Arabidopsis thaliana: one gene and its partner. The protein of the gene in region 1 purifies or fractionates together with the protein of each later gene. This does not show direct contact. Each region holds a gene or a part of one and is shown in the gene's direction. Other genes may lie near its edges.

What was found.
Region 2: the proteins of AT2G20060 (region 1) and RPL3P fractionate together in Arabidopsis thaliana (co-fractionation; one large-scale study listed by BioGRID). This does not show direct contact.

The regions. Positions count from the first base shown.
Region 1 is NC_003071.7:8,657,263-8,662,082, forward strand, and holds AT2G20060 (Ribosomal protein L4/L1 family), read left to right. Parts: upstream 1-1,718; 5' UTR 1,719-1,867; intron 1,868-2,091; 5' UTR 2,092-2,121; coding exon 2,122-2,197; intron 2,198-2,269; coding exon 2,270-2,325; intron 2,326-2,454; coding exon 2,455-2,572; intron 2,573-2,963; coding exon 2,964-3,112; intron 3,113-3,197; coding exon 3,198-3,305; intron 3,306-3,380; coding exon 3,381-3,500; intron 3,501-3,601; coding exon 3,602-3,775; intron 3,776-3,863; coding exon 3,864-3,965; 3' UTR 3,966-4,296; downstream 4,297-4,820. Other genes in the region: AT2G20070 (defensin-like protein), read left to right, coding at 4,776-4,820.
Region 2 is NC_003074.8:5,977,214-5,981,400, reverse strand, and holds RPL3P (ribosomal protein L3 plastid), read left to right. Parts: upstream 1-1,706; 5' UTR 1,707-1,828; coding exon 1,829-2,200; intron 2,201-2,378; coding exon 2,379-2,588; intron 2,589-2,752; coding exon 2,753-2,857; intron 2,858-2,939; coding exon 2,940-3,053; intron 3,054-3,168; coding exon 3,169-3,342; 3' UTR 3,343-3,679; downstream 3,680-4,187. Other genes in the region: CRSH (Ca2+-activated RelA/spot-like protein), read right to left, coding at 36-968, 1,153-1,578; AT3G17460 (PHD finger family protein), read left to right, coding at 3,856-4,187.

The DNA.
Region 1 (4,820 bases):
TTCTTTTATGCTTTATCTTAAGTCATCTTCGCATTTTATTTTGGTCAAAAGAAAGTTAGAAGATAAGAGAAAGTTTTTGGGTCACACATACGAAAGAAACGTAAATGGCTTCTCATGCCTAATAGCGCTTTCTACGCTTGTGGGGTATTTGATTGGATATACGTCACAACTCATAATACGTAGTTGTTTACTAGCTTATCTGTACATGGACTCCACTTCTATATGATATATATAGAAATGCCACTAATATACGTACGTATCCACAATAAGAGAATTATAATGAATGTGAGATTGGTAAGTAGTATCACATAATTTAAGGGTGTGAAGGTTAATTAACGGTAGGTTGTTCTATATTATATATGGTTACTCACGTAAAGTTTTTAACAAAATATACAAATTTTAAAATGTATTACTTAACCAATCTCTGTTCTCATGAGAGTAGTTTCGCTTATTCAAACTGCTACCAAATATTATCTAGTAGCCTTTTCTAATTGGTATACAAATACAAATTACACGATGTGATAGACACTTTATTGTTTGTGCATACTACCTTTAGAGTAGGCACTAGCCAATCATGATAAAAATGGCAAATCTAAAAAATATTAAGCAACATGGTAAATATAAAAGATTTAGGTGACAAAACTGAAAACAGAAGAAAAAACTTACGTTTTAACAAGTGTTATTAAATGCTGGTTTTGGACTAAAAGAGGATATGGGTTTAATGAAAAAACTTAATTTTTAGGAAAAAAAAAAAGGTGGAATTTGAGTAGAATACAACAAAAAGTCTTAGAGTTTGATTGGTAACACAAAACTTTAGCTGTTACGGAATAATGTAAAACTGTACAAAAGAGCTGTAAAAAAAAATTGTATCAAAAAGCTGAGAGTAAAGCTTTTCGTAACGCTTTTGATAAAGTTTTTGTAAATGGTAATTGTCAAAGCTGTACAAACTGTACTGTTTTGATAATGGGTTACCATTCAAAGCTTTAAATTTTAAATCGCATGATAACCTGTAAATAATTATTTTGAATATATGTTAGACTTTATTATTATTGGTTAACTATGTTCTCTTGATTGAAAAAAAAATAGATTTGTAACTCATTGCTGTTTTTTTTTTTTAAGAAACAAATAGAGAACTATATAAAAATATAAGAAAACGTTGGTTTTGTCCAAGAAAAAAATTGTTGGGTTTTGGTGGGTGGCAATAGAAGATGCCATGTACATAGTGGGAACAAGTAGCCTTACGCCCATAACATGTCGGAACATCACCAATAAATTTCTATGTTCAAAAATATCATTGTAACAAAAAGTTTTTCGAATTTCTTCTCCCAACCCACCATAAAAACCCAATCAAATGCATGTGAATGTTCTTGTTCATTTGATGAGGTCAAGATCAAGAAGCCATGTAATCTAGAATACAACAGTACACATGTGACTTGTTACAGTTTTGAACTCTCGTTCACAGTTTTGCAAGTTCTTACCAAAGCTATAGATGCCTCTCATCCCATGAGCCTTCATCACCTGATGGGCTTATTAGGTTTACAGGCTTGACTAAACTCTAGAGCCTATACGTATAGAAGAGGCCTGACTAAACGAAGATAATGAAATAAGCCCACAAGGCCCAAATAATTAATATCTTTTATTCTTTTTGGCAAAATGAAAAATCTGACTTATGGGCTTTTTAACATTTACACATTTAACTTCATGACCCAATGAAGACCCGACCCGTCTGGTAATGACCCGATCCAACACATGAGTAAACCTTCACTGAAACCTCGAAACTCCTCCAGAAGCCTAAAACCTTCACCACCAAATCGGTGCCTCCTTGAATAGTCGCCGCCGTCGTCTATCATCGCCGCTTGTGACTCCGGTGAGTATTCTTCTGCTCTATTGAGTTTATTTTGGTTGAAGCTCTATGAGATGTACGTGGGTCTGGTTTTCATTTCTGTTTCTTAATCGCTCGAATTAGCATTTGATAGCTACTGAGATTTTGAGTTTTCTGATCTGCCGAATAATCTTCGCCATTGTAGTGTAGATGTTGTGTGCCTTTTGATTAGATTACACTGAGAAATTGGATTGTTTTCGTGTTTGTAGATGAGAAGCTAGGTTATTGAATCAGAGATTATGGCTGCTTCAATTTCAAGAAGGATTTTTCGCACTTTTGGATCCTTTTCAGCTCTAGGACGTTCCTCTTCACCAAGTATTATCTCATTTTCCAAGCTTCTTATAAAATATGTTTGTTTCCTGGATCTCTGATTGTTTCTCTCAACAGATTTGTCTGCGAATACATCTGGAAATGGTTTAGCTTCTCTTACTAATGATCTAAAGGTTGGTGTGTTTAGTTAATGTCACTTTCTCCTTTCCTTCATCTGCATATTATTGAGTTCTACTTACTACTACTTGAGTGGTCATCTTCCTGATTTTGAGATGTTGATTTCGTATTTGTTATCAATGCAGTATGGAATGGCTTTACTTTCCAACCGAAAGCTCTCCACTTCTATTTTGACTCCTGATGATTCATTTCCTTCTGATTTACTTACCAAAAAGACTGTGCTTACACCAGACCGAACCATAGGTACGTCTCTGTTTGGTCTACAAGCTGGTTTTCAAGCTAATTCCAACATCTGTATCTTTCATGTGCTTTGCTGAAAATTTTGTTCCTTTCCTGGAATCATGTTGGTGGAATGGAGAGTGAGTAGTTGTTGTGTTATAAAAATGCAGTTACTTTGTGTTTTCGGAGGAGTAAGAGTTTTTCAGGCCTTATTTAGCTTATTACTTGAAGGTTAACGCAGATTTGAGTACCATTTTTTCGCTCGTGTTTGACTCTGTTATGTTCTCGCTTTTATTGGTTATTGTGCTTGAGACATGATAAAATCTCTGATCAATGATATTTTCTCTTCTACTTTCTCTCTTTTAAAAACTTCTGGACATGTATTAACTGGTACTGTTATTGATACTTCTCATAGGACAATATCAAGACTTGGTCATTCCAGTGACTAATTTTCAGAACGAGGAAAAGGGTTTCATGGTTTTAGCAGGTGATGTCTTTGATGTTCCAATAAGGAAAGATATCATTCACAATGTCGTGCGATGGCAGCTTGCGAAACGCCAGCAGGTAATTAATTAGTTATCTCACAATGCCTTAATTTAGTCATATAAGCAAACAATCAATAAGTGTGACACATGTTGTTGATATTTAGGGAACTCATTCGACCAAAACGTTAAGTGAGGTTAGTGGAACTGGTAGAAAGCCATGGAATCAGAAGGGTACAGGTCGAGCTAGACATGGTACACTACGTGGTCCGCAGGTAAATCAGTGTTTGAATTTTAAGGTTTCTTGCCATCAAATATAGATCTCTGATTGAACTTTATTGAACCATTAGTTCCGAGGTGGTTGTGTAATGCATGGACCCAAACCAAGAAGCCATGCCATAAAAATGAATAAGCAGGTTCGACGGCTTGGACTGAAAATAGCATTGACAGCTCGAGCCGCAGAAGGAAAAGTCAGCTTCTTTCTCTTCTTAATCATAAAATGTACTCTTGATAACCGTGCCTTCTTATTAAACTGATCTAATTGTACCTGCTGAATGGGAAATTTATGCAGCTCCTCGTGTTTGATGATTTGGGATTGCCTACGCATAAAACAAAGAACATTGTGAACTATTACAACCAAATGGAGAACACAAAGAAAGTCCTTGTTGTAGAAGGTGGTCCTATTGATGAAAAGCTGAAGCTAGCCACCCAAAATCTACACTATGTCAACATAATTCCATCAATAGTAAGTTACATAATCACATATCAAACCTTGTGGTTTCTCGACTAATTGGTTAGCGAATCTTGAACTTTGTTTACGTAACACTTTGCAGGGGCTAAATGTTTACAGCATTCTGCTACACGATACGCTTCTGATGTCCCGTGATGCTGTGAATAAGATCGTTGAGCGTATGCACACTCCTATTAACCGTTGAAGAGACAACAATGTCTTAAAATGGCACTCTCAATAAGAATACTAGATCACAAGGAATCCCGCATGTAGTATCTGTACCGGTTCATTGTTTGTTAGCTTTTTGGTCTGGTTTTGCAACATAGAATGGTGAAGGATTGAGTTTTAAAATAATGAATGGTGATACTATTTCTATGTTTTTAGACATTCTTTTTTTACCGTTTTAAATATGACTTAGGCTTTCGTGTTTTTGAAAAGGCATTTTGATAGAAAATTTCTATGAAAAATGATTTGCCTCAAAAACTTATGACTCGAATGAACAATTATTATGCTTAATTATGATTTTCAAATGATAACATTATGTTTGAACTCTTATATGGGTTCTTCCCATGTTACAATACGTACCAGGGTGCTCTAAAATATCCAATTGGTCCCGATCTATATATGTATGTAGAGACTCTTCCTTGGATAGATATTTGGTGAATCCAAAAATAAAGTTTTACAAGAGATGACGAAACAAAGGATAGTAAAAGAAATCAGAATCTTGATTATTGAAATTTTTTAAAGACAGAATCAGCCTTTATAAAGAAACAATATTCTTTATTCATTTCCTTCCAAAATCTCTCTTCTTTAAGATGATCTACACAATTAAATACCGTCGATTTCGAAAATTGAAGTTTAAAATCAATATGAGGATTTGAAATAAGAGCTTACATGCACACACACATATCTCTCTATATATAAGTGAGTAGGTTTACATGGTTTAATTTTCTATAACACGACACACACGAAAAAGAGAAGCAAGCACAACACAATTTTTTTTATAACAACTAAAATGGCAAACAATATGGTCGCATCTCCTTATAAGAATACGTTCATG
Region 2 (4,187 bases), on another chromosome or scaffold:
AATTTGCCAAACTAAAAAATCACAGAAGTGCTTACCTCTTTTGGGTCGGTTAGACCGCCTTTATACAAAGAATGTGATGCTGTTCCAGCATTAGCGGATCCATCCATATCCATTGTCCGTATTTGTATCTCCATCAAAGGTCTTATCTGATCGCTGTCGCTAACATCAACTGCCATGTGTAAACTCCTATACCCATTTTCCTTTGGCCTAGCAATGTAGTCTTTTGTTCTATGCGGAATCTCCTTCCACAAAGACCGGATAATCTCACTTGTTCTGTAACAGGCTTTTTCGCCAACTTCAACATCGTTTACTACAGAATTAGGCATTAATATGACCCGTAGACCAAGCACATCGTTCACTTCTTCCGGTTTACGCCCATCTCTTAGGAGCTTCTTCATCATGCTGTACCGACTTTTATACCGACCTTTAATATATACATCATTCACCATTTCAGCCAAAACCAAATCATCCTTCAAAGACCGATGAAGCTGCTCTTTGTACACGTCTATCAACGGTTTAGACCCGTTCTCGTGACCTCTTAACCATGAATCTAAGTATATATACGAACACGGAAAAAGATAACGGAAAGAGATGTCCTCGAGCTCAAGTGACAGGTGATTAGCCCCCACCGCATGAGCTAAAGGAGAATAAATCTTCAACACTTCAAGAGAGAGAATCTGCTGGCGATACCTTGGCAAGTGATCCAAATGCCTCATCTCATCAAGCTTTGAAACCAAATCCATAATCACAGCTCTGATGTCATAGTAGGTTAAATAGAACTTTCTCAATGAAGCAGCAGTTTCATCGTCTAACACATCAACTTTAAAAGGAATATTCTTCACACGAAAAATCTCATGAAGCAGATGAGCAGTTCCAGTACCAATATGGTCTCTAACTTCATATATAGATATCGCATTCGCGTCCACCACCTCACTCAATATACTCGCCGAGATAACTTCTGCATCCATCTACCATTACCACATAATTTATCAAATATCAATTGATAGAGCTTTTCAAATAACAATGTCACAGAACTCACTTAATCTCAGATTCTAGTTCTAACTTAATGCTTCAATTTCGTCACAGAATCAACAACAAAACCTAATTCATCTAAACAAGAAACTGTGAAAAATGCAAGGATCGAGAGTAAACCTGGAGATCTGCGAGAATGATAGAGAGTGAGAGAGCCTTAGAAAGAGGAGAGCGACCATCAGAGGCAAGAGGAAGAGACTGTAAAATCGGAATCGAGAGCTTGAGAGCTTTAAAGAGTAACCTAGACGAAGACGTCGACAACCAAACCGAATTCATCCTCTCCGTTACTTCGTTGAAAGCTCCAACAAGCTCCACCACCATTTTCCCTCCCGCTGCCTCCGGAGACCGAGCCGTCGATTCAATCGCAGTATCCTCCACCTCCGACCTCGGATTCCACCGTCGACGTCGTCGCTGAATCAATTGAATCGAATAAAGACGACGATGCAGTACCTGAGATCTGCATCTCGGAATTGGAATCGGAGAAGGACGAATCACAGACATTTGAGAATTTGAGATTGATTTTGAAAATTGAGGCAAAATTTTCATGTACCGTTTTGTTTTTGTTTTATATGTCGCAATGGATAAGCCACGTAGGATTTTGTTTTTATTATCGTCCACATATTATAAAAAGAGGGAAATAAATAATATTGAGACTCTCTTTCTGAGATAGAGGCTTTGGTTATCATTTTGTCGCCCATCTAAAACCCTACGCAAAAGCCTTGAGAGTTCTGGTTTCTGCATCTCTCTCCTTCTTCGTTTAGACTTTAGCCATTGAAGGTCGCTTCGATTCGAAATCATGGCGGCCGTACCGAGAGGCCTCCTTTCTCGAATCAATCAGTTTCTATCAATACGGTCTATAACTCCTTCATCCTCTGAATCTCTTCCTCATTGTAGTAGCTTCTTTCTCATCCGACGATTCAGCTCCGATACTGGGTTGATGGACGGTGGTGGATCTGATATTATCGGGGCTCAGACCCGAATCATTGAGGCGAAACAAGGTGAGATGTCTAGTAGATCCAAGAGGACTGGGATCATCGCGGTTAAGTGTGGGATGACTGCGCTCTGGGACAAATGGGGAAAGAGGATTCCGATTTCTATTCTTTGGGTTGATGATAATATCGTCTCTCAGGTTAAAACTGTTGAGAAAGAAGGCATTTTTGCGTTACAGGTAACTCCATCGCAGTTTACTCATTCCCATTTTGGCCATGTAGTTTGTATCTCCTGGATTTATTGATAGGGCTCTTAGTGGTTACTTGATCAATCAATCGATTGCTGTAACTTTATGTGTGGGTTTATGAAGCTCATGGTTTAGTAATTTGATTGGCATGTGTTGTTCTGTTAGTTAGATCGGATGTGGGCAAAAGAAACCGAAGCATTTGTCAAAAGCTGTGGTGGGGCATTTCAGAGCACAAGGTGTGCCGTTAAAGAGGAAGTTGAGGGAATTTCCTGTGACTGAAGACGCTCTTCTTCCTGTTGGTACTTCACTCGGTGTCCGCCATTTTGTTCCGGGACAGTACGTTGATGTCACTGGGATCACTCGAGGAAAAGGTTTTCAGGTGAAACCATTCTCAGGGGCTCTAAAGTTTTATCTTTTCTTTGCGATGATAAGTTGAATAGTCTAGTGACAATGTGGCAGATATATAGAATGGAGTGCGGATGAAATAGTGTTTGTGCAAAGTAATGGCTGTGTTATTGATGTCTTTTGCTGTGTAATTTGCAGGGATGCATGAAAAGACATGGTTTCAGTGGAATGCCGGCATCACATGGTGCTTCATTGTCCCATCGAAGCGGGGGTTCCACAGGGCAAAGAGATGCTCCTGGAAAGGTATGTGTCAAATTGCTAAGATTCTTGGGAATTTTTCTCCAAAGCAAATGACACTACTGACTTGATAAATACACTTGAGTAGGTGTTCAAGGGCAGAAAGATGGCTGGGAGAATGGGTGCAGATCAGAGGACAGTAAAGAACGTTTGGGTCTACAAGATCGATCCTGCGAGGAACCTCATGTGGGTGAGAGGACAAGTAAGTATCTCAATCCCAGTTCCAGTCTTTGGCTAGGATCTGTCTGTCACAAAACATGAGCTCCATTTCTCTTCTCTTATTAGTAGGTCATGATTGTGATTTGGTGTTGTTGCAGGTTCCTGGTGCAGAAGGAAACTTTGTGTTCATAAAAGATGCATGGTGCAAGAAACCAGACATCTCAAAGCTTCCGTTTCCAACTTACTTAGCTCCAGAAGATGAAGATCCATCAGAATTAGAACCGTTGGTTGCAGATCTTGGAGAAGTTGACCCATTTATGTTGGCAGAGTGATGAAAACAGCATGATCTTGATCTTTATTTGGGCTTTTACAATGATTAGAGACCAGAAAGAAGCTGTGGAAGTGAAGGAATCACAGAGCTAAAGCTTTTTGCAGATGAATTTGTCTTTTTCTTATTTTAGTTGTTTGGATGTATGATTTGAAAACGATTAAATAGAGGAATTTAGGCTTGCTCGCATTTGTTATATCACAATGCTTAAGAGTTTGCAATAAGCAATGAGGAAAACACAAGATTATTATGTTTCCTTTCATCTTCCAAATATATACACTTCGTATTAACAAAAAATAAAAGATTCTGTTTTTAATTCAACAAGAATCAAGACCCAATTTTTAATCTTCTATATAAGTTTTTTCAGCTCCCAATAGAATTATACGTTGAAGTCTCTTCAAGCCCAAGATCTTCAACATTCTGAGAACAACACAAACGCTTCTTTCATCTTTCTCTCTCTCTCTCTCGCTTAGGGTTACCGTTGAGGGAGAGAGTTCTCAATCTCGTTGACTTAGCCATGAATCCGGAACAGAAACAGCGCGAATGCATAGTCTGCCGTGAAAAAGAGCCGTCGTTCATCCACACCGTCATCAAAACCGGCGCTTTCCGGCGACTCTGCACCGATTGTTTGCTCAAAGAGTACCGAGAACACTTTTGCTCTGTTTGTTTCAATCTCTTCGACAACGCCGTTCCTCCACAAGCTCGTATCATCTGCGTCAATTGCCCATCAAGCACCCACCTTTCTTGCTCAACTCAGCCGCCGTCTTCCTCCGCCGCATCTTCCTCCTCCTCCGCTCCACCACCAGCTTCTTCCTTCACATGCCAGCCATGTTCTAACCCCAATTTCAC